Linked DNA regions of Kluyveromyces lactis. Each later gene encodes a partner of the first gene's protein in a complex. Links are inferred from orthologs where the notes say so. Each region holds a gene or a part of one and is shown in the gene's direction. Other genes may lie near its edges. The genes, in order: KLLA0_C01650g, CDC3, CDC10, CDC11, CDC12, NAP1 and SHS1.

Region 1 (4,230 bases):
TTCATGCTCTCAAAAGGAAGAAGGAAACTGCTTTTTGTTAGAGCTCTTTTCCATGTCAGTTGACAGTCGAATTTCAGGACTACAGTATTTTTTTTTTTTGGCCAGGAATTAGTTCAACAATACAAATTACCTTAACAAACAAAAGCTCAATCTATACTGCCGAGAGTTAGAAGAAGAAAAAGCGAGTCTTTAAACATTCATTGAATCCTGTTTCTCCATTCTTCAACGCCTATATATATAACCACAGTTTGAAATGTCAGAAGAACAAGAACAAAAGGTGGATGTTAAGCCAGAAACACATATTAACTTGAAGGTTTCGGATGGATCCAGTGAGATCTTCTTCAAGATCAAAAAGACCACTCCATTAAAAAGATTAATGGAGGCATTTGCTAAGAGACAAGGTAAAGAGATTGAATCCCTAAGATTCCTTTACGACGGTGTGCGTGTGTTACCAGATCAGACCCCTGAAGATTTGGACATGGAAGATAACGATATCATTGAAGCTCACAGAGAGCAAATTGGTGGTAGTTTGTAATTGGGAGTGTACTTTGCAGCAGTAAGTGGGATCAACTACAGCATTCCCATCCTTTTTTATCTTTCAATGTAACCTATCTAATGTTATAATAACTGACTATGTATCTGGAATATTAAAACTACTTTGGATGAACAACAAGAAAAGTGCCCGCAAGCTTATCTGCATTTCCCCAGGGAAAACAGTCGGTATGGAATTAGAAATGAAATCCGAATGGAAAGAAAAAAGAGATTGGGTATCAAATGGCAGGGCTTATAACAGACCTCCTGCAAATTACCACCCTTGTATTCCTATTTCGATTCGAAAAGCTAGGTTTGCTTCAAGTTTCGCGTTTTTAGGTCTTTTTTTTTTCAAGTCATTTTCCTTCCTAGTATGGTGAACATTCTTTTCAATTAGTATAACTGTTACAGTAAATGATTTTAGAAAGAATAATTTACCAGAAGTGGAAGAAATATTAGCTGTCTTGTTAATAGTTTTCTGCCACACTCGTTTTGAATTTGGTAGGTTTTTTCTTCCATTGTTATTTGGCATACATATATACCAAGACGTGAAGTTTAATTGTGTTTTTCTTTGGTGAAAATTGTACCTGAGGGAAATACTGAGAAATTGAGACAAGGCTCATCACATAAAACTGGAAGTAGATTAAACCATAAAAGTTATCGTGAAAAAAATAATTTCAATTCACTTCAACCATCTTCAACCACGACCAATTGAATTCACTAGACGGTACCAGATATCAGACATAGAGAGTTATTTATCTAGGCAAGCGAATCTCACTCTGATAAAAACGATATATTACACCACATTCATTCTCATAAGAAATTATCATTCAAACCTTTACGCGACTGGGGAACATTATAACTTGTAGCTTGGCCAATACTATCACAATATATCAGAAATGAACGGTAACGGAATAACGACGTTAAAGGGTGACACAATTGGCCCGTGGAAGTTGGGCTCGACACTGGGTGTTGGCTCAACAGGTAAAGTCGTAATGGCCTATAATGAAACTAAAGGACAACAAGCCGCTGTGAAAATTATATCAAAATCAATATTCAACGCTCAAGGGTCGACAATGATTGGTGGTAACGATCCTGATGTCTTACCCTATGGTATTGAACGTGAAATTATCATTATGAAGTTGTTGAATCATCCTAATGTCTTGAGATTATACGATGTTTGGGAAACTTCAAAAGATTTATATATGGTTTTAGAGTACGTTGAAAAAGGTGAGTTATTCAACTTGTTGGTGGAAAGGGGCCCATTACCTGAGAATGAGGCAGTCAGATTTTTCAGACAGATAATTATCGGTATTTCTTACTGCCATGCGTTAGGTATAGTTCATCGTGATTTGAAGCCTGAAAATCTTTTATTAGACCATAAATTCAATGTCAAACTAGCCGATTTCGGTATGGCAGCACTAGAATCAAAAGATAAATTACTGGAAACTAGTTGTGGTTCGCCTCATTACGCGGCACCCGAAATTGTCTCGGGCTTGCCATATCACGGTTTTGAATCCGATGTTTGGTCATGTGGTGTTATTCTTTACGCTTTACTGACCGGTAGGTTGCCATTTGATGAAGAAGATGGCAATATCAGAAATCTCTTGTTAAAGGTTCAAAGTGGGAAATTTGAAATGCCTGGAGATGATGAAATATCATCGGAAGCCCAAGATTTAATCGCCAGAATCTTAACAGTAGATCCAGAACAAAGAATCAAGACAAGAGAGATCCTAAAGCATCCACTTCTAAGAAAATACCCAAGCATTAAGGACTCTAAATCCATTAGAAACTTACCTCGAGAAGATACCTATTTGAATCCACTATCATTAGAAGGAGGAAATCAATGCGTAGATGAAACTATTTTGCAGAATTTGGTTGTTCTATGGCATGGTAGAAATAAGGAAGACATTATTACGAAGTTGATGGAACCTGGTGCTAATTTAGAAAAGACTTTTTACGCTTTACTGCATAGATTTAAACACGATAATTACCAAGATCAATTGAAGCAACAAGAATTACAAAAGAAACAATCTGTCTCTTCGAATTCGCTGATGTACGTTGGATCTTTACCATCTCCTAATAAATCTGATTCCCCAGTCACCACTCCAAAGAAGAAAAGAACATCAATCATAGTTGCCTCATCTTCTCACAAAAGACCTGTATCAATGCAAAAACTGAGTAGCCAACATAGCTCACCAGTGAAAAACGGCTCAATAGGTAAACGTTTGAGTAAGACTTTCCCTTCAAACAAGAGAATTTCACAGCTAGTCTCCAATTCGTCTTCTCCAACCCCTGCTGCTCATAAAAGAGTTTCCAGGATAAACGATAGTGCAGCTCCACCCGTCCCTAAAGAAATGCTTCGTGACTACAAAAGACAATCAAAGAGACAATCCAAAAGATTCTCTCTACTGCCTAATATGAAGCGTGGATCTATAACAACGAAACTGATTGCAACGTATGCAAAACTTTCCGAAGACAGTGAATGGGAATACATCGAAAAGGAAACGAAAAGGACAAGTCAGGACTTTGCTACATTGATGGATCAGATTTTCGAGCATGAGAAATACGAACAAATACGGAAAGAGAAGGAAGAGTTGGAAAGAAAAGTCAACGAAGCTCGTGAGAAGGAGGAAGCTGAAAGAAAGGAACGGGAAAGGATCGAGCGGGAGGAGCAAGAAAGACTTGAAAGAGAAGAACGAAAGCGAGCTGAAAGACAGAAGGAATTGCAAGACCAAATGGAAGACGAAATTGCTAAGCTCAAGGCGGAATATGAAGCTGTTCAGGGGAGCTCGGATGAAAGAAACACAGCCAATGGAAGATCTGTCTCTGCTCCGATAGAGACCGATAGAACTGCAAACAAAAGAGATAGTACATTCGGTATAAAGAATGACATCAATGAACTAATCAATACAAGAAACTTCTCTCTACAAACGAGACCAGTTTCCAGACTTGACCCTGGTATCATAGCTGCTGAAAGTAGACTGTCAGCTAACCTAGAAGATGACCAAGCGTCAAAGGAAAAGACTATTCTGGAAACCATTAGACGCTCCAAATTCCTTGGATCGCAATTTAACTTGAACGTTGAATTAGAGAAAGCCCAAAAGGATTTAGTATCTAAAGAGAGACAAGAACAATTGAGAAAGTACTCTGAACAGACTGCAAAGTACGAGGTTCAAAAGTTACCCAAGAATGCTAAAGCAGTTGCAACTCTCAGAGATGACGAAGTTGAACCCAGAAAGCTCTCAGAAGTCAAAGTTCCACAATTTACAAGGAGGTCAAAACATTTCTCTTCCTCTAACAAAAGATTTTCTGTATTGTCACTGTATTCAACTAAGACTTCATTCACGAACCTTGTGGATCATTTGAAGAACGATAATTATCTTGAACCTCTACCTGGCCAACCTGAATACTCATCATCCAAGGTTGCACAGGAACCAGAATTCATGTTTGAGACCGTTGAAGAGCTTGATGAAAATTCTAAGCTGTTCGAAGTACCAGAAACAGAGGAAGGAAAACTAGCTTCTGCCGCCAGAAAGGAATCTACTGATGCCAGAAAACAAAGTACTAATGATAAGGATATTAACTTGCCGTCGTTACCTCCATTGCAGGTATCTCATGACGTAGCCGACGAGAATGGAGCATTAGGGCTTGGCATTTACCAGCCAAACGATCAGACACAAAAGCCCCACAAAACAA
Region 2 (3,394 bases), on another chromosome or scaffold:
ATTCTTCGAAATCATGAGAAGCCTGAGAGAAATTTTCGCATTCTAGTGAGACTTCACCCAACAGGTCATAACATTCAGATAGTTTTAATTTTAGATCCTCGTTGTCTGGTGTTTCTTTCAAACTGGATTCATAGTATGACCTTGCAAGCTCTAGAATCTCCCATGCGTTTTCGAAATCATCTTTGTCAACTTCCTCTTGGCCTTCGACTTGATCTTCTTCCTCTTGCTCCTGATCTTGTTTTTGTTCTTCCTCTTCCTCTTCCTCCTCCTCCTCCTCCTCCTCCTCTTCCTCTTCCTCTTCCTCTTCCTCTTCCTCCTCCTCTTCTTCTTCTTCTTCTTCACCAAATTGAATCAGCCCAGGTCCTTTCGAGGCAGAATCATCTTCGTCTTGTTCTTCGTTATGTTCATCCCTCTTAACATTAGATCCCATACCAAAGACATCAGACCTGCTCAAAGCCAATTGGTACAATGCCTTACCATACAAAAACAAATATTCAGGGTTTGGATTCTCATTCTCACTGTCATACAATTGATTTAAATCTGCATAAGAATCGACTGCAAGTTCATAATTCTTACCAGCATAGTGCTTGGCTCCTTCTGTCAATAATTTATCAAACTTGTCCGACATTTTAGATTCAATTCTACGATAATGGACTGAAATTGTTAAACAATTGATTTGCAGTGTGTGATTGCTAACAGCAGCAATCATTAAAACACGCAAACAATTTAAATAATGCACAGAGACGCGTAATATTCATCGCATTGCGCAATTGCTTAAAATACATGTCGTTATCAAAGAAATCAAACCGGTGAATCCAAATCACGTGATTGATTTAAAACTTGTGTAAATTTACAATAACCGGGTAACTGTTGACACGTGACTTAGGAATTCTTACGCCTCGAATCTAAAACACCTTGCTTGAATACCGTTCCATTGCAATGGACTCTACACTGAAAGAAAAAGACAAAGGCCGTAAATACTAGCCAATATATACATCCAAAAATAGGGCAGATGATATTGAAGCCAAATCAACTAAAGGAGACTTGCTTAAAGTAGTTTTACGTCTGTATGTACTTCTTATTTCTGTGCCTATTCAGTATCTTATTTTTGCTTCTTTTCTTCCTTTTCTATATTGACAGATCGATGTCTCGAAGAAATTTACAAAGAACGCGATTTAAAACCTAAACCACAAATATAGAAATTTAAATCGAGTAGATTATCTGGTTTATTATTTATAATTTTATACACGTAAATTCGGTTTTGATCTGGATCAACAGCATACACAGGTGTCAAGTCTTACTTTGAAAGTTGTTTAAAAGCCTCGGTTTAGGAGTGCATTGAATATCAGGCTAGCCAACAACCATAGCAGTGTGTGAAAGAAAACTGGAAAATATTATTATCCACAATGGCAGAAGTTATTAACGATACAGTCAAGTCAGAAGCTATTTCATTGAAGCATGAGGACTCCGTAGCTACTGGATTGGACAGCGTGAATCAAGACAACAATGTTGAGCAGACTTTTTCAGATGCAAATGGTGATGAAATCGCGCCAGCTGTGCAAGAATCAAATGGTACATTGGGCCAAGTTTTGCCCGATCAGCCAAACCTCAAGGTTGTTCGTCGTATCATCAATGGATACGTGGGCTTTGCTAATTTACCCAAACAATGGCATAGAAAGTCAATTCGTCGTGGATTCAACCTGAATTTGTTATGTGTTGGTTACAAAGGGTTGGGTAAATCTACGTTGATAAATACGTTGTTCAACAGAGAGTTGTACGAGCAAGACGCTCTATCCCATGGAGTACAGTCTTTAGATTTGGGTGATGGTAATGGCAACGATGTCAGTGTCAAGAAGGAAAATGGTGAAAACGGTCCAGCAGAAGAAAACAAAGTCAAGATCGAAACCGTTTCAGCTGAAATCGAAGAAAATGGAGTGAAATTGCAATTGACCGTGGTTGATGCACCAGGATTTGGTGATTCTATTGATAACACAGATTCATGGAAGCCAATTGTGGATGAAATAAATCGTAGATTCGACCAATATCTCGAGTCTGAAAACAAGATTCAAAGAACTACTTTGCAAGATAACAGGATTCATGCTTGTCTCTACTTTATCGAACCTACTGGTCATGGTTTGAAGCCGTTGGATTTGGAATTCTGCAAGCAGGTTCATTCCAAATGTAACTTGATCCCCGTTATCGCCAAATCTGACATCTTAACTGACGAAGAAATTGTCACTTTCAAAGCCACCATCAAGAAACAACTAGAACAAGCCAACGTGCAGTTGTTTGAACCACCTCAATATTCTATGCTGGGAGATGAAACTTCAACTGAAAACATCTTTGAAAAGATTCCTTTTGCCATTGTCGGTTCCACTGAACAAGTCACTACAGAAGACGGTAGAAAAGTTAGAGGTAGGGCTTACCCATGGGGTGTCATCGAAGTTGACAACACAAAACATTCTGATTTTGTATATTTAAGAGATCTATTAATTAGACAATACTTGGAAGAATTACGCGAAAGGACTAACAAAGTATTATACGAAAAATATAGATCTGAAAAGCTATTAGGATTGGGTATCAAACAAGACAACAGTGTCTTCAAGAATTTCGATCCAGAAACTAGACAAAAGGAGGAAAAACAACTACACGAAGTCAAACTAGCTAAATTGGAAGCTGAAATGAAGGCAGTATTCCAACAGAAAGTTGAAGAAAAGGAAAAGAAGTTACAGAAATCTGAAGCTGAATTGTTCGCTAGACACAAGGAATTGAAGGATAAGCTTACAAGCCAACTAAAAGCGTTAGAAGAAAAGAAGCGTCAACTTGAACTTTCCCTTGCTAACCAACCAACAAGCTCTCCAATTCCTGCTAAGAAGAAAGGCTTCTTACGTTAAGAAATGAGTAAGATGATAAATATAGTATAGTCTTCGTGAACTTCATCTGTATTTCACAAGATCTCCAGACATGTCTTTATTTTCTTTACATCCGTCTATCTTTTATCTAAATGTATAACTACGAATCTCAATAACTAAGCCAGCTGAAGCTAACTAATCAACACAATGTCAACGAGTGTAATGCATCACCATACAGTACATGTAACAAAGCAAAACGGTTAAGTGCCCAGCTAGCTGCGACACAACTAACGTAAATTTTGTGGGTCTGTTAATGCGGTTAAATCAAGGTAATTCGCACAGTTTAGTAGGGAGATTTCGACTTGCCTTTTTTCTGTCGCTTTCGGTCGTTGAGAGATTACTGCTGTACTCGACTCTTTTACTAAAGCCCAAGAGGGAAAAAAAAAAAGGAAAGTCAATAAAGGTAAAGAAATATGTATGTGGATGTAGTAAGTGCAACTCAGTATGATAATATGTAAGCGTTCAGCATAAATCTCTCGAAA
Region 3 (2,835 bases), on another chromosome or scaffold:
TGTGATTTGATTCTATGTAGAGTTGATTGTGATGAGATAATGAATCTAACTATTACTACAGGAGGTGAATGCTGACACTGAAATAACCTGCTAAAATCTGGGACGTGTATTCGACATATATATACAAGGTGATGGGGGGATTGAACTTGATAAAAGGTTGTTTTTTTTTAGTCATTTCCGCCGATGTGTTATTTTGTACTGGATTCAATGAGAAGAGGGTTTAATGTGATCCTTCTTTCTTCTCAGATCTCTCCACTGGCAGAGTTTTCATACGTCTCTCCAAATAAGCATCCTTGTCCTTCAGTTTCTTTGTGTATTCAGTTTCTTTTCTACCAGGATACAAGATACGCTTGTCCAATTCAGACAACTCTTGTTCTTGAATAGGCTCCACTTGTTCAACGTTAGTGTGAGCCTTCCAGATGTGACGGATTTCACCCACACAATGCATACATAGCGTATGTGCCTTCTTGTAATGCCCACATGAAGGGCATTTGTTCAAATGGTTGATCATTTTCAGCTGTTTGTCTCCAGGCGCATATAACTTTTGTCTCTTCTTCTGATGCGACACTTTCTTCTTGGGCACAGCTAGAAGGATCCCGTTATTCGTAAAGTAATCCGCTTGAGGTGAAGACTTTTCACGTTGGTTTCTTTCAAGCAATTCCAGCAGTTTCTGTGGCAATGCAGTACCAGCTGCTGGAGTGCTCCAACGAGGCAATATTGATGTCGCTGTTTCCAGCAACACTCTGCTAAAAGATTCCGTTACAGCTCCAAAAGACATCCTCTAATTATTTTCGCTGCTGGTATGATACTATGATGAAGAGGAGAAAGGATAAGTTCAATCGATAGGGACAGATACTAGTTTCTCTAGGTCGCTCGTCTAACTCTGTTTGAACTTCGTCAATTCAAATTGGTATTGACGAATTGGATTATAAGAAAGAATTTTCAACATTACCCTGATTTGGTGATGATCTGTGTCCCTTTTTCGATTTCGATGAAAAAGACGAAAAATCACAAAAACTAAAAATGGAACTCGAAACGAAATAAGTGTGTCAACAAAATATAAGTAAGGAATCAGATCTTGTATTCTTTAGAATAAGTAAGATTGTGATTACTTTTTTTTGACGTTTCTGTGGTTAATTGCTACTCATTGTTTGAATTTTTGTTATTGCGGTTAATTGTTTTTATAACTTAGAGGTTTTTCATTATTTTAACTTCCAAACACTAAAACACGTAAAGCTTTGATCATTTGGATTTGACTTATATACATCTCTACTACGCGAAAGGAATTATTAAAGGTAAAATACACGCATAAACAAAAACAATGGCATCTAGTACTGCTGCAGCTGGTATGACTTCTTCTTCTGATGGGTTGGCTTTGGTAAATCCATCTTCTTATGTTGGGTTTGATTCGATTACTTCACAGATTGAACATCGTTTGTTGAAGAGAGGATTTCAATTCAACGTTATGGTCGTTGGACATTCTGGTCTGGGTAAGAGTACTTTGATCAACACTTTGTTTGCATCTCACTTGGTTGATTCTTCTACTGGTAAGGACATCACTCAGGAACCAATTAGTAAGACCACCGAGATCAAGGTTTCAACACATTCTTTATTGGAAGACCGTGTACGTTTGAACGTGAACGTGATTGACACTCCAGGTTTTGGTGACCAGATAAATAACGACAAAGTTTGGGAACCTATTGTCAAGTACATCAAGGAGCAACACTCTCAATATTTACGTAAAGAGTTGACTGCTCAACGTGAAAGACACATTGTAGACACTCGAGTACATGCAGTGTTATATTTCATCCAACCTAACGGTAAGGGTCTAACAGAACTTGACGTTGCTGCTTTGAAGAGATTGACAGAAATCGCTAATGTTATCCCGGTGATCGCTAAAGCTGATACTTTGACGTTGAATGAGAGAGCTAACTTCAGAAACATCTTACAAGAAGAATTTAAAAAGTACAATTTCAGAATCTATCCATATGATTTAGACGATCTGACCGATGAAGAAGTGGAACTGAATAAAAGTATAAGATCTATTATTCCATTTGCCGTTGTAGGATCTGAAAAGGAGATTACAGTGAACGGTGAACTAGTAAGAGGAAGAAAAACTCGTTGGGGTGCCATCAATGTCGAAGACATCAACCAATGTGAGTTCGTATATTTAAGAGAATTTTTGATCAGGACACACTTGCAAGATTTGATTGAGACTACAGCTTTGATCCACTACGAAAGTTTCAGATCCAAGCAATTGATTGCTTTGAAGGAGAACGCCAACGCTAGAACTTCTGCACACATGTCTCAGACATCAACAACAATGCTGCGTTAATAGGTGGAAAAAAGAGCCGGGAAGACTTCTAGAAGAAACGGCGTCTTTATTTCAAAAAAATGTAGCGTTTTACCGGTACGCAAGAGCTGTGCCAATTATTTTTTTTGTGTTCTTCACTGGTTTGAATCCTGCCCTAGTAAAATGTCGCTTCATTTCCATATATCTTATTGATAATTGGTAATGTCTCTCTATTTCTACTTGTCAAACGTCTCTTAATCTCTTTTTTATATATCACATTCTCTTTTTAGGATTTATAAACCCCATTAGTTAACTATAATACTACATCACGTATAACCAACTGGTAATTAAAGTCTAAGAAATTGGACGGTGCTGTTGTCCTCCCATTTTTGTACTGAGCAGATGTATGCGAATAAATTAGTGTAGACAAGCTCCAGAGTAATCTACAATGTATCATCACTGCATATTAGTGTCTACATGAAGACATTCAGTGTTTAAATTTTATTCCAGATACTAAAATGTTCTATTTTGTCATATCCTCT
Region 4 (3,074 bases), on another chromosome or scaffold:
TCGCTTTATCAGTGCTGGCTGTCTTTCCGAGCTCATTCCTAGCCAAGTTAGCTGCGTTCTCATCCCAAGTACCTCCTGATACTTCAAGAATATTCTTGATCATTTGATGCCCACTCTCGGTCAAGATAGATTCTGGATGGAATTGCACACCTTCCACAGTGTATTTCTTATGTCTCACACCCATAATAATTCCAGTCTCCGTTCTTGCACTAACTTCAAGCACATCAGGAAGTGTTTCCTTGGCGCCAGCAAGCGAATGGTACCGCGTCACTGCGACACCTTGAGGTACTTTTCTAAAGAAACCTTTTCCATCATGGAATATTGGTGAAGTCTTACCATGAACAATTTCTCCAGCAAAGCTAACTTCACCGCCAAAGACATCAAACATACATTGCTGACCCATGCAGACACCAAACACAGGGACTTTGCCGCAGAAGAATGCGATACAGTCTCTTGATATCCCGGAATCGGTCTCTGGATGACCTGGACCCGGTGAAATCATGACAATATCAGGGTTCAATGCTTCAACTTCTTCCACAGTAATCTTATCATTTCTGAAAACTAAAACTTCAGCACCCTCAGTGCAAAGATATTCATAGATGTTCCAGGTGAACGAATCGTAGTTATCGATCAAAACAACTCTTTTAGCGGACATGATATCAAATTAATGCGAAAACCTAGTTCCTTTTTATCACAGTATAGTGTAGTTGCCCTACTAGATAATTATCAACCAAATATAACCAATCGATAAGAAATTATCGAAAGTTTCTTCTTACAATTATTTCAATGCCCTTTAAGGGTTCCTTTAAATATAAAATCGTCTTGAACATGAGATGATTAACTGGTTCCACATCACAATTCGAGATGAGTCAAGAGAAAGCTTTGATGAAATGAGAAATTGAATCGAATTTCGTCCTAAATGATAAATATGTATGTGATGTACGGATGTGTCAACATTCAAATCCACATTCTTAAGGCAATTGTGCATCGCTGGATTGATTATTCCGTAATCTGACTTCCAAGTAACAATCTATAACCTCTGTTCAATTAGCTGAGCCCCTCTATCATCCATCAAATGCTCTTTCACCGTCGAATACCTACTCTTTCTCTGTTTCCTCCATACTAAATTCCAGATTCCTCAGAGTAACGAATTTAGAATCAGATCGGAAACGTGAAACTTTAAACAAACAACTAACACGTAAACAACACAATTAACAGAAGAGCTGCTCAGAGGTCTTATTAGCACCTAATTTCTGTCGGGGTATTGAATTGGGAAACAAAAGCACTGCTACAATTGTAATTTAGACAGAAATGGCAAGTATTATTCAGGCATCTGCCGCTTTGCGTAAACGGAAGAACTTGAAGAGAGGAATTCAGTTCACGGTGATGGTTGTTGGTCAGTCTGGGTGCGGTAGGTCGACGTTCATTAACACTCTATGTGGACAGAAAGTGGTAGATACTTCTACCACGATTATGTTACCAACGGACACAAATACGCAGATTGATGTGCAATTGAGGGAAGAAATCGTTGAGTTAGAAGACGAAGAAGGTCTTAAGATCCAATTGAATATCATTGATACTCCGGGATTCGGCGACTCTTTGGATAATTCTCCATCGTTTGACATTATCTCTGATTACATTCGTCACCAGTACGATGAAATTTTGTTGGAAGAGAGCCGTGTAAGGAGAAATCCTCGGTTTAAAGATGGTAGGGTGCATTGTTGTTTATATTTGATCAATCCTACTGGACATGGATTGAAAGAGATTGACGTGGAATTCATCAGAAGACTAGGTACTCTAGTGAACGTGATCCCCGTTATCAGTAAAGCAGATTCCTTGACCGCTGAAGAGTTGAAATTGAACAAGAAATTGATCGCAAAGGATATCGACTATTATTCGCTACCTATCTACAACTTCCCATTCGATGAGGAAGACGCGTCAGACGAAGATTATCAAACAAACACATATCTCAGAGGTTTACTGCCCTTCTCTATCATCGGTTCCAACGATGTGTTTGAATCTGCAGACGGGTCCGTGATTCGTGGTAGAAAATATCCATGGGGAACCCTTGACGTCGAGGATGCTAACATCTCTGATTTCGTCGTCCTAAGGAACACTCTACTCATTTCACATTTACACGATATGAAGGAATTTACTCATGAGATCCTATACGAAAGATACAGAACTGAAGCCTTGTCCGGTGAGATGCCAACTGTAGGAACTACGACTCATAACAGAGCTTTCAGCACCACGAACAACGAATACCTAGGATCACCCGCTGTATCTGGTAGAGAATCTGTGAGGGGCAATGGATTACCATCTGCGTTGGGGAACAATGATTCGACTTCTTTACATTCTAACAACGCGTCATCGAACCAGGACACTTACTTGGCAAGAGAAGAACAAATCAAGCTAGAAGAAGAAAGATTAAGGGTTTTCGAAGAAAGAGTGCAACAAGAATTGCAATTGAAGAGACAGGAATTGCTGCAAAGAGAGCAAGAATTAAGAGAAATCGAAGAGAGGCTAGAAAAGGAAGCCCAATTGAAACAGGAAGGAATCAAATTGGAACAATAAGTTGTTGTCCCTTCCTGCACACTAAATAGAACTACATATTTCGTTTCTTTCTTTAACCTATACCTCAGTTATTACCATAAGATAGATAAAGCATTACGAACCATTTCAGGCTACTGGCTGCTAGTCGTGTGCTACACTTTATCGATGCCCTAACGATCAAGCAAAACCTCATTCATTTAAGAAAAAAATTCCCGAACGAAAACCATATAAAAGCCACTTACTTCGAGGCCGAAAATAAGACGAAAAAGACGGTAGAAGGATGGCTTCTGAGCACCAAATGGGTAGTACCAGGGGTACCAGGGATACCAGGTGTACCATGACCTAGTAAATCTCCTTTACATTATCTCACACAGCATGCCAGGAGGCGTGTGCCGTGTTCTGACAAGAAAACATCATGTATGAAGATGTGGGATGGAAAAGCTTTTAGATGATGAGTAACCAGATAGGGACAACAGATATTCGTTTAAGTGACGAGGAAAGTCTTTTAATTGCCCAGTTTT
Region 5 (3,033 bases), on another chromosome or scaffold:
TCGCGAGGGCCCAACGATGGGCATTCTGCAAGAGTATGCTCTTGTAAACCGAAATCTGACGGGTTTATAGAGAATGATTCGACGGTACCATTCAAGGTCACATGCCAAACAATAGTGTTCCCTACAGGTGATACTTCATCGAGACCAACTTCACCCCAAACGACGAATGTTTCACTGTCAGGATAGATAAGTCTTGCTGCTTCTGCATACTCAGGTGCCAATTCCTTGGAGAAGACACCTAGAACTCTTTTTTGAACATGGGATACAGGATGCAATAACGGTCCCAAGACATTAAATATTGTTGGGATACCCAATGCTTTCCTGAGCAGAGCGACATGTTTCATACCGTCATGGAAATAAGGAGCCAATAGAAATGTGAACGAATTTTCATCCCAAATTTTAGGTAAAGTCGACGCAGTCACCTTAGATGAATCACAACCTAAAACTCCGATCAAATCACCAGCACCTGAATTGGAAGTCGATGCTTTCCCACCATGTTTACAAACCTTCAAGCCTGGGATGCCCGAAGCGACAATGGCTGCAGAAGTAGACACGTTAAAAGTGTTTTGGCCGTCACCACCTGTACCGACGATATCTAAGACAATATCATCAGTATGAGTCAAGGTCGTTGAATCGACAACAGTTGAAAACTTCAACACAGCCGAGGCAGCAGCTGCAATATATTCAGCTTTGTGATCCAATCCAGTTGCTCTCAACACTGAAAGGAAAGAGGCAATCGGTACCACAGCTTCCACAGTAAATTCCTTCGATAGCGTATCAATTATGTAAACGATAACTTCGTGCAATTCTGCAGGAGTCAAACTAGGCGGGCTCTTCAAAAGCTTCTTCGTAAAGGAAATAATACTCATAGTTACAAAATGTAGAAGCTGGTAACACAGCGATACCTTAAAGGTAGGAAGGCACTACTTAGCAGTGAGAGTAGATTTGCCGTTATTTAACGCAAAGTGATTATCTTTCTATGTACCAGTTTGATATATGTTAATGACTATATAGATCCACGGTTCGAGAAATAACAGAATATACATTGGAAAGCACGTGACTCGCTTCTCATTACCCTACCCTTCTTTGCTCGAGAGATCTCTGAAATGTTCCTGGGAACCTAGGATTCCTCGACACGAAACAATTCGAAACTTTGTTCAAATATAGAATACTGGCTAAAACAAGCCTATATTAAAATTGAAATTGGAATTACAGTTTGTTTACAGGAGTTATCGTAGCTACCTGCAGTAACAATCTGACCTTCTGTTCATTAGCAAATATAACATTGTGTGCTTCAGCAAAAGATAGTATAATTGGTACCAATTAATTGCAACGGAACTTTGAAACAATGACCACGGAAGAATTTGTAGGAATCTCGAATTTACCAAATCAGATCTACAAGCTGGTATCCAAACAAGGTGGAGTATTCACCTTGTTAACATGCGGTGAAAGTGGTTTGGGTAAAACTACCTTCATAAATACGTTGTTCCAGGCAACATTGAAGCCATCTGACTCCCATACAGGCCGTTCGATGCAAGGGCCAATTAGGAAGACCGTGGAGATTGATATATTACGTGCAGAACTAGAGGAGAAGAATTTTACCTTGAAGGTGAATGTAATTGATACTCCCGGGTTTGGTGACAACATCAATAACGATAAATCGTGGCAACAGATCATTGATTTTATAGACGATCAACACGATTCCTATATGCGTCAAGAACAACAACCATACAGAGATGTGAAATTTGATCTAAGAGTACACGCTGTACTGTACTTTATCAGACCTACAGGACATGGTTTGAAACCATTGGATATTGAAACTATGAAGAGGATCAGCACTCGTGCTAACTTAATTCCCGTAATCGCCAAGGCTGATACTTTGACAAGTCAGGAATTACAAGATTTCAAGCTTAGAATTAGACAGGTCATTGAGGCACAAGAGATTCGTATCTTTACACCACCTTTGAATGAGACACAGGATGATGCAGCCGCTATGGAACATGCTAGACAACTAATTGAATCCATGCCATTTGCAATTGTTGGTTCAGAAGAACAATTCGATAACGGTAGTGGTACCAAAGTTGTTGCAAGAAAATATCCATGGGGGTTAGTGGAAGTAGAGAATGATCAACACTGTGATTTCCGCAAATTGAGATCGTTGTTGTTGAGAACAAATCTGTTAGATCTTGTCTTATCCACTCAAGAGCTACATTACGAAACCTATAGGAGATTACGTTTGGAATCTCATTTGAATGGATCGTCTAACGATAACGAACTAGGAGAAAAATCGGCGAACAACTTCGTTGCTGCACCAGCAAGAAAATTATCACATAATCCAAAGTTCAAAGAAGAAGAAAACGCACTAAAAAAATACTTCACTGATCAAGTTAAGGCCGAAGAACAAAGATTCAGACAGTGGGAACAAAACATTGTGAATGAAAGAATTAAACTGAACGGTGATTTGGAAAAGATTCAAGCCGAAGTAAAGAAATTAGAAGATCAAGTGGCCACATTGAAATTAAGAAAACGCTAGGGTGTAATGGTTCGAAATTGTTTTTTTCATTCCCATTTATATTCCTTTTAACAACCCAATTTTTATGTTATTTTCCATTCTCACATTATTCTCATTGAATAATGCCATTTCTGAACCTTGTAGAACGATGTCCACACAGTTGTTATTTTAAACTACTTTCTATTGATCTTTCCTATATATCAATATAAGCTGTAAAGATGATATGTTATCATTATTTATTCTTTTTTTCTCTACTCGGAAGGGAGAGTATAGAAGATATTGGACTAGCGGTGGAAAGGTGAGCCTTATAGACTAATGAAAGAAAATCTTCCTCCTGCTGAGAAACTAGGAACAAACATAAATTTCAATTAAAGGAGTAGTCGCGATGATATTTATATATAAGATATAGACATAATATCAAAGCTTTGATATGGGAATCTCACCAAATTTATCAATGTGTATCTATTCTAATTCAGTGATGTACTTTTCAGCATCCAAAGCAGCCATACAACCGGAACCAG
Region 6 (3,095 bases), on another chromosome or scaffold:
TATTCTGACATAAAAAAGAGTGCGTATATGTACTTAGGTACTTACTACTTTTCGTATAAACCTTTGGTCACTAATGCATCATTGACCTTGGTTTTCATAAATCCAATGACATCTGCTGGGTCGTGCGCGCGGAACACAGAGGTACCGGCAACAATGACATTGGCACCTGCCTCGGCAGCAAGTTCGACATTCTGTTTACCAAGACCACCATCGACTTGAATGTTCAAATTAGGAAATCTAGTTCTCAAGTCCTTCACTTTGCTCATCATATCGGCCATGAATTTTTGGCCACCGAAACCCGGTTCGACAGTCATTACAAGAGCCATATCCAGGGATGGTGCCAACTCGTACAACACATCCACAGGGGTACCTGGCTTCACAGAACAGGCAGCCTTCATACCATGCTTCTTAATTAGCTTAACCAACGCTACCGGGTCCTTTGTAGCCTCGTAATGGAATGTGAACTGATCGCAACCGATCCTAGCAAAATCTTCGACCCATCTTTCAGGTTCACTAACCATCATATGACAATCGAAGAATGCTCTTGGTAACTTGGTGTCTGGATCGTTGTACTTTCCGATAACTTTACGTAGCGATTCGACAACCGGTTGTCCCAATGACATATTAGGAACGAAGTGACCATCCATAATATCGATGTGTAACCAATCGGCACCAGAGTTAATCACATTGTGACATTCACAACCTAATTTAGTGAAATCACTGGCTAGAATAGATGGGGCAATAATAGCACGAACCATGTTAAAATTGAAACTTATTATAGTTTTGTAAACTGCTGACCTTAAACTCGAACAGGTAATGGTAAATCGTATTCTATAATGAGCAGAGCAGACCGTTAATTGGGTAGTTGGTTCTTGTTTGAAAAGAATTCCCTGCTGCTTTTTCTAATTTTATTGCATTCTTTATAAAACTGAAATTCTGATATCCAAAGAAAGCGACTATTGAGAGAAAGAAGAGGGGATCAGGATTACTTCAGAGTATTTTACAGCTCAAGATTCATTATATAATGTACCGTTGATATCAGGAGTGCTTTATTCCGAGTTTTTTTACCAGGAATTGGTACGATTTAGTCCTTTGAATTGGCATACGGTTGCAGTATTTGCATGCTTCCGTGATCTATTTTAATATGTAAGGAATATATAAGAAGAGCATTTTTTAGCCAGAAAATTTTCTTTCAGTAGGAAACGTAACAGCTTGGAACATCTGATCGTAGAGGTAGTGGGCTATTTGTGATACTTGGAGTGTTGCAGCAGGATATTTGAACTACATTAGCTGTATACATTTGAGTGTATTTGGCAAAATAGTAAGGATCACATCATAAAAATGTCCAACCCTATCAAGACATCGAGGTCGAGTAAGATCGATAATGCACCAACGCCTCATAACACACCAGCTAGCGTGCTTAAGGATTCATATTTAAGGAAGAAGCAACAGCAGCAGTCTGACCAGGATCAAGATCAGGATGACGATAGCGAATACAACGAGAGTCCATCTTTATCCCGGATCAATGAAAAGTTGGAGTTCTTGAACATAGACGAAGAAGATGAGGGTGAAGAAGAAGAAGAAGAGGAAGAGGAAGAAGGCGATGAAGAAGCTTTCGAAAGACTCCCAAAAGCTGTGAACAATAGGATCTTAGCCTTAAAGGCTATTCAGTCCGATTTGTTCGAATTGGAGAAGAATTTCCAGCTTGAAATGTTGGAACTTGAACAAAAATATCTGCAGAAATACAAACCATTACACGAACACCGTTACGAGTTGATCACAGGTGATAAGGAAGCCACTGAAGAAGAAATCAAACGCGGGGGATCTTTGGATGGTGAAGATGAGCATGAAGAAGAAGAGCATGACCAGGAACCGGAGGAAGGTGAGGAAGAGATCGTTGGTGTCCCTTGTTTCTGGTTGACAGCCATGGAGAACTTACCAATGGTTTCTCAAAACGTGACAGAAGCTGACTGTGATGTATTGACATACTTGACGAACATCACTCTAGAGTATCTAACTGAGGGTAAACCAGGCTTCCAATTGATTTTCACCTTCGATAAAGAGAACGAATTCTTCACTAACGAAACTTTAACAAAGACATACTACTACCAGTCCGAATTGGGTTACTCTGGCGACTTCATCTATGACCATGCAGAGGGTGAAACCATTAACTGGGTCGATAATGACCATAACGTTACAGTCGAAGTGAAAAGACGAAAACAAAAGAACAAGACTACTAAACAAATTCGTACCATTGAAAAGCTGACACCAGTGGAATCGTTCTTCAACTTCTTTGACCCACCAAAGTCTCTGGATCCCGAAGAAGAAGACGATCTTGACGAAGAAGAAATCGCTGAACTTGAGAGTAGATTGGCTGTAGATTATGCTATCGGTGAAGAGATCAAGGACAAGTTGATTCCAAGGGCAGTGGATTGGTTCACCGGTGCAGCACTAGAATTAGAATACGGCGATGAACAAGAAGAAGACGACGATGAATTTGACGATCAGGACGGTGAAGAAGAGGAAGAAGAGGACGACTTCGCTAATAAAGATGCTCTGAAGAAAGTCCAACCTCCAGAATGCGAGCAATCCTGAAAGAGATTTTTTTTTTCACATCCACCGATATATAGTAAGCAGTGGTTATCAAAAGTATTTACTCTCTATCTAAACATCACCCTAAGCTGTGGCCTTGCATCAATCTACTCAACGCATGTTCCAGATACGGACGGTGCCTGGCATGCATACAATTTGTGCGCGGTTTTCCACCTGTTCTTATTTTAAGCAGGTGGAAATATATGGCCATAAGGTCTGGACATGCACATCATGTGGTGTCAAAGTCAAACGGAAGTAACGGTCTAACGGTCTGAACCCCTGAAGGCCCCGTTACCAGTAAGAAAAATGGGCTGAAAAGGCACAACTAAGAGCCCTAAAGACAGCAAAAGTGTATAGCAAAAAGAACTACGAGCAGATTACGAATGAAAGTACATAGGGAGCAAGTCTGTTTATTGCTTACTTTTTGGGTAATAGCAAGGAATGGTGACAAGACTACTGGCAAGGCACGAAATAATCCGTGGATCTAGAAACATATCTGATCT
Region 7 (3,326 bases), on another chromosome or scaffold:
TATCTGTTGAAATCGCTGAAACAATTCGATATTTGATTTGGGTACGTTCGATTGTTCATCTAAGGGTACGATTGTCACTAGAGCATCGTAAAGTTGTGAGAGACTTTGGAAATATTGCATATGACGTTCGTCCAAGGGTTTCAGCGATATAGGAGATTGCTGATTCGGACTAATCGTGGAATTCAATAGCTCGGGAAGCTCCAAGACTTCTCCGTTGGATATCAATTGGTAACCCTTGATCAAAAATACGTCGAGCTTGATCTGATGATGCATGATGCCTGTCGGACTACTATGTGAAGTGCTCCCGATATCAGACATGGCTCTTCCAGTATGTGTACGTAGCAGGGGAGGGCCGATCTTTGAAGTCCGTAACAAGCAGTTCAAAGACCTTAAGTATGCTGCCGCTTCCGCAGATTTTCTCGCTTACTGTGTATTTCTTTCTCTCTTTCTCTCTATCTTTCGTTTCGTTAAGGTGCAACATTTCCACATTGCATCACCTTATGTTCTAGCAAGAACTAAAAGCGACAAAATTGCAAAACAAAGACGCATCTCATTGAACACATAGAGCCCTTCTGCAAGGGCTAAAATCCGAAGCCTTTCATATGTAGACCAAGGCAGTACCAAAGCTAGCCGGACCTAGATCGAAGATCGTTATCAACTTATAACGTAATCCACTGACGGACATATACATTCACATCACTGAGACAGAAATATAAGTCACGTGAAGAAGTGGCGCCATATATATGTATATATGCCTTAGTTCCCCAATACATAGACTAGTTACGATATGTGGTTCATCGAACTGTAACCATTTGATGTTCCCATGTCACTGGTAACTTTTGTCCTTGCCTTAGGTATCTTTGAGTGTCTCATTTCCCATGGCTATGTTCGAGCCTTTTAATCGGTGAAAAGTTTCGAAACGGTTAATATCACGTAAAAGATATCAATTCCATATTTAAATTTAGACGAGAATGTAATTTGACTGAAACAACAACGTCTTTTGATAAAAAAAGTGTATTCTATACGTTGCAGAGCTACATTAATCAAGTGAACCATTGAACGAGACGAGTTTCAATCAATTGGATAGGAATCATTGTACTTTGGCGATTCTATTTAGAATATAATTGGAAGTGAAAAGTGAAGCCGTTTGATCTTGGAAGCAATAAAAAGATGTCCGCTAGTCCTGTATCTCAGGTATTCTCACCAAGCAACAATGGGGTCAGTGTGTTCCGTAGAAAGAAGGAGAAGAGAGGTATTACTTTCTCGATGATGTTGGTTGGTGCTTCTGGTACTGGTAAGACCACTTTCGCTAACAATTTATTGGAATCTACCATTTTCCCTCATAGATATCAACAAGATGTTCCAGCTAGCACGAATAACGAGAATGTTAAGATTATCCAACCAACTAAGGTTGTCACGTTCAATTCGATGAACGGTATTCCCAGCTACATGTCGGCATTTGATCCAGCCTCGCCGTTTTTGGAACCAGGTATCACTGTGACGTCTACTGCCCTGGAGATCACGACGAAATCTAGTGAGGATATCGATAGCGCTACCCCTGAAAAGATCAATTTCTTTCTCACCGACACCCTGGGACTGGGTGAAAACTTAAATAATGGGATCTGTTTCGATGAGATTGCTTCATATTTGGAGCAACAATTTGATTCGGTACTCGCTGAGGAGACCAGAATCAAGAGAAATCCAAGGTTCCAGGATACAAGAGTTCATGTCGCGTTATACTTTATTGAACCCACGGGACATGGGTTACGTGAATTGGATGTTGAAATTATGAAGAGACTATCCCGCTACACAAATGTTCTACCAATTGTCGCTAGAGCAGATTCGTTCACACCTGATGAATTGACTAGGTTCAAGAAGAGAATTATGGAAGACATTGATAGATTTAACGTTCCTATCTACAAATTCGAAGTTGACGAAAATGAGGATGATCTAGAAACAATTGAAGAGAACAAGGCATTAGCGAGACTTCAGCCGTTTGCTATTATCTGCGCCGACCAACGCGATAATGCTACCGGTAAATACTATCGTGAGTATCCATGGGGTAAAATTGACATCGATAATGAAAACATTTCGGACTTGAAATTGTTGAAAAGGGTTCTCTTCGGGTCCCATTTGCAAGAGTTTAAGGACACGACACAAAATCTGTTGTATGAAAACTACCGTGCTGAGAAATTGGCGTCTGTGCCAGCCTGGGACATTGAAAACAACGAAGTTATAGATACTTCTATCAATGACGAAAACAATGAGGGTAATTCTTCAGGGTTGATGAAAGGGTTGACTAGAAACAGTACAGCTCCATCCTTGTCAAATTTCGCCTCTCTAATAAATACAGGAAAGTTTAAGTCTCAACAATCACTTGCAATTCCACCTCAATCTGAAACCCCATCTACACCACGTCTAACCGGGGTAGATGAAGGAGATGAGTCTCGCGCTTCAATCTCTGCCAGTTCACAGAAATCTACTCCTGCCAATATTCAAACTTCTCCAGAAAGAACAAAGTTACGGAATATTTCCGAAAATATCCCATACATGCTTCAGCACGAGCGCATAGTAGCAAGGAAACAAAAGCTTGAAGAATTGGAGGCACAATCTGCCAAAGAGTTACAAAAGAGAATTCAAGAACTTGAAAGAAAGGCTATTGAATTGAAGATGAAGGAAAAGCTACTAAGACAAAACTCACATAGTCAATCTCAAGAATCTATCCAGACTAATACAACTAAACAAAATTCAACTTCTGGAGGTGCTTACATTAAGAAAGAGGAAACCTATAACGATTTAGCTTCGATAATCAGCAAAAAAGAATGAATTCAGTCTTGATATCTTTCTTTGGCATTTTTGTAAGTCGAAGTGTTTGGTTCCTGAAACGATTTCATATGTAATTTAAACAATATTGATTATTTTGTATATTGCAAACGGTCACGTCTAGATTGATCTGCTACCTGTTTCCAAATTTGATGAGTTTAAGATGGTGATGTAAAAATCAGAAAAATATACGTACTGTTACAGGTATATATATATATATAATATAATAATGAGTTAAGGTATTTTCGTGCCACTTATCAATAAATGGAATTTATCTGTTCAGATGACATAGTATTATGAGATAAAAAAGATTGGTGAAAAATTTATGTTCATCCAGTGCTTCAAGATAAAAAATAGCTAGTGTAACTGGAGAGAACTAAGAAAACCGAAAAATGCAAAATAATGTTCCCGATGGCAATTAAAAACATCAAGAAACAACATTCATTCAGCGACGATGAGAAAAGGCACTGGGGGAAATAATAGGAAAAGAGATTTAACCGAAT

The links.
Region 2: KLLA0_C01650g (region 1) and CDC3 share a complex: the UniProt entries of both Saccharomyces cerevisiae proteins name them as parts of the GIN4 complex. The link is inferred for Kluyveromyces lactis from reciprocal best matches to the Saccharomyces cerevisiae genes GIN4 and CDC3.
Region 3: KLLA0_C01650g (region 1) and CDC10 share a complex: the UniProt entries of both Saccharomyces cerevisiae proteins name them as parts of the GIN4 complex. The link is inferred for Kluyveromyces lactis from reciprocal best matches to the Saccharomyces cerevisiae genes GIN4 and CDC10.
Region 4: KLLA0_C01650g (region 1) and CDC11 share a complex: the UniProt entries of both Saccharomyces cerevisiae proteins name them as parts of the GIN4 complex. The link is inferred for Kluyveromyces lactis from reciprocal best matches to the Saccharomyces cerevisiae genes GIN4 and CDC11.
Region 5: KLLA0_C01650g (region 1) and CDC12 share a complex: the UniProt entries of both Saccharomyces cerevisiae proteins name them as parts of the GIN4 complex. The link is inferred for Kluyveromyces lactis from reciprocal best matches to the Saccharomyces cerevisiae genes GIN4 and CDC12.
Region 6: KLLA0_C01650g (region 1) and NAP1 share a complex: the UniProt entries of both Saccharomyces cerevisiae proteins name them as parts of the GIN4 complex. The link is inferred for Kluyveromyces lactis from reciprocal best matches to the Saccharomyces cerevisiae genes GIN4 and NAP1.
Region 7: KLLA0_C01650g (region 1) and SHS1 share a complex: the UniProt entries of both Saccharomyces cerevisiae proteins name them as parts of the GIN4 complex. The link is inferred for Kluyveromyces lactis from reciprocal best matches to the Saccharomyces cerevisiae genes GIN4 and SHS1.

Annotation. Positions count from the first base shown.
Region 1 is NC_006039.1:126,689-130,918, forward strand, and holds the start of KLLA0_C01650g (uncharacterized protein), read left to right. Parts: upstream 1-1,430; coding exon 1,431-4,230. Other genes in the region: SUMO family protein SMT3, read left to right, coding at 254-535. UniProt on the Saccharomyces cerevisiae protein: Serine/threonine-protein kinase which regulates the localization and the function of the septins during mitosis. Phosphorylates SHS1.
Region 2 is NC_006040.1:348,291-351,684, reverse strand, and holds CDC3 (septin CDC3), read left to right. Parts: upstream 1-1,406; coding exon 1,407-2,894; downstream 2,895-3,394. Other genes in the region: HIF1 (Hif1p), read right to left, coding at 1-709. UniProt on the Saccharomyces cerevisiae protein: Septins are GTPases involved in cytokinesis that assemble early in the cell cycle as a patch at the incipient bud site and form a ring approximate 15 minutes before bud emergence, which transforms into an hour-glass shaped collar of cortical filaments that spans both sides of the mother-bud neck.
Region 3 is NC_006042.1:1,182,910-1,185,744, forward strand, and holds CDC10 (septin CDC10), read left to right. Parts: upstream 1-1,321; coding exon 1,322-2,335; downstream 2,336-2,835. Other genes in the region: MRPL32 (mitochondrial 54S ribosomal protein bL32m), read right to left, coding at 221-778. UniProt on the Saccharomyces cerevisiae protein: Septins are GTPases involved in cytokinesis that assemble early in the cell cycle as a patch at the incipient bud site and form a ring approximate 15 minutes before bud emergence, which transforms into an hour-glass shaped collar of cortical filaments that spans both sides of the mother-bud neck.
Region 4 is NC_006038.1:1,258,307-1,261,380, reverse strand, and holds CDC11 (septin CDC11), read left to right. Parts: upstream 1-1,311; coding exon 1,312-2,574; downstream 2,575-3,074. Other genes in the region: TRP3 (bifunctional anthranilate synthase/indole-3-glycerol-phosphate synthase), read right to left, coding at 1-655. UniProt on the Saccharomyces cerevisiae protein: Septins are GTPases involved in cytokinesis that assemble early in the cell cycle as a patch at the incipient bud site and form a ring approximate 15 minutes before bud emergence, which transforms into an hour-glass shaped collar of cortical filaments that spans both sides of the mother-bud neck.
Region 5 is NC_006041.1:1,924,713-1,927,745, forward strand, and holds CDC12 (septin CDC12), read left to right. Parts: upstream 1-1,348; coding exon 1,349-2,533; downstream 2,534-3,033. Other genes in the region: TRP4 (anthranilate phosphoribosyltransferase), read right to left, coding at 1-869; KLLA0_E21605g (thioredoxin-disulfide reductase), read right to left, coding at 2,975-3,033. UniProt on the Saccharomyces cerevisiae protein: Septins are GTPases involved in cytokinesis that assemble early in the cell cycle as a patch at the incipient bud site and form a ring approximate 15 minutes before bud emergence, which transforms into an hour-glass shaped collar of cortical filaments that spans both sides of the mother-bud neck.
Region 6 is NC_006041.1:1,342,743-1,345,837, reverse strand, and holds NAP1 (histone chaperone NAP1), read left to right. Parts: upstream 1-1,341; coding exon 1,342-2,595; downstream 2,596-3,095. Other genes in the region: ribulose-phosphate 3-epimerase RPE1, read right to left, coding at 45-758. UniProt on the Saccharomyces cerevisiae protein: Acidic protein, which assembles histones into an octamer (in vitro). Involved in the regulation of the localization and the function of the septins during mitosis. Involved in the function of B-type cyclins.
Region 7 is NC_006042.1:1,938,519-1,941,844, forward strand, and holds SHS1 (septin SHS1), read left to right. Parts: upstream 1-1,170; coding exon 1,171-2,826; downstream 2,827-3,326. Other genes in the region: GCR2 (Gcr2p), read right to left, coding at 1-318. UniProt on the Saccharomyces cerevisiae protein: Septins are GTPases involved in cytokinesis that assemble early in the cell cycle as a patch at the incipient bud site and form a ring approximately 15 minutes before bud emergence, which transforms into an hour-glass shaped collar of cortical filaments that spans both sides of the mother-bud neck.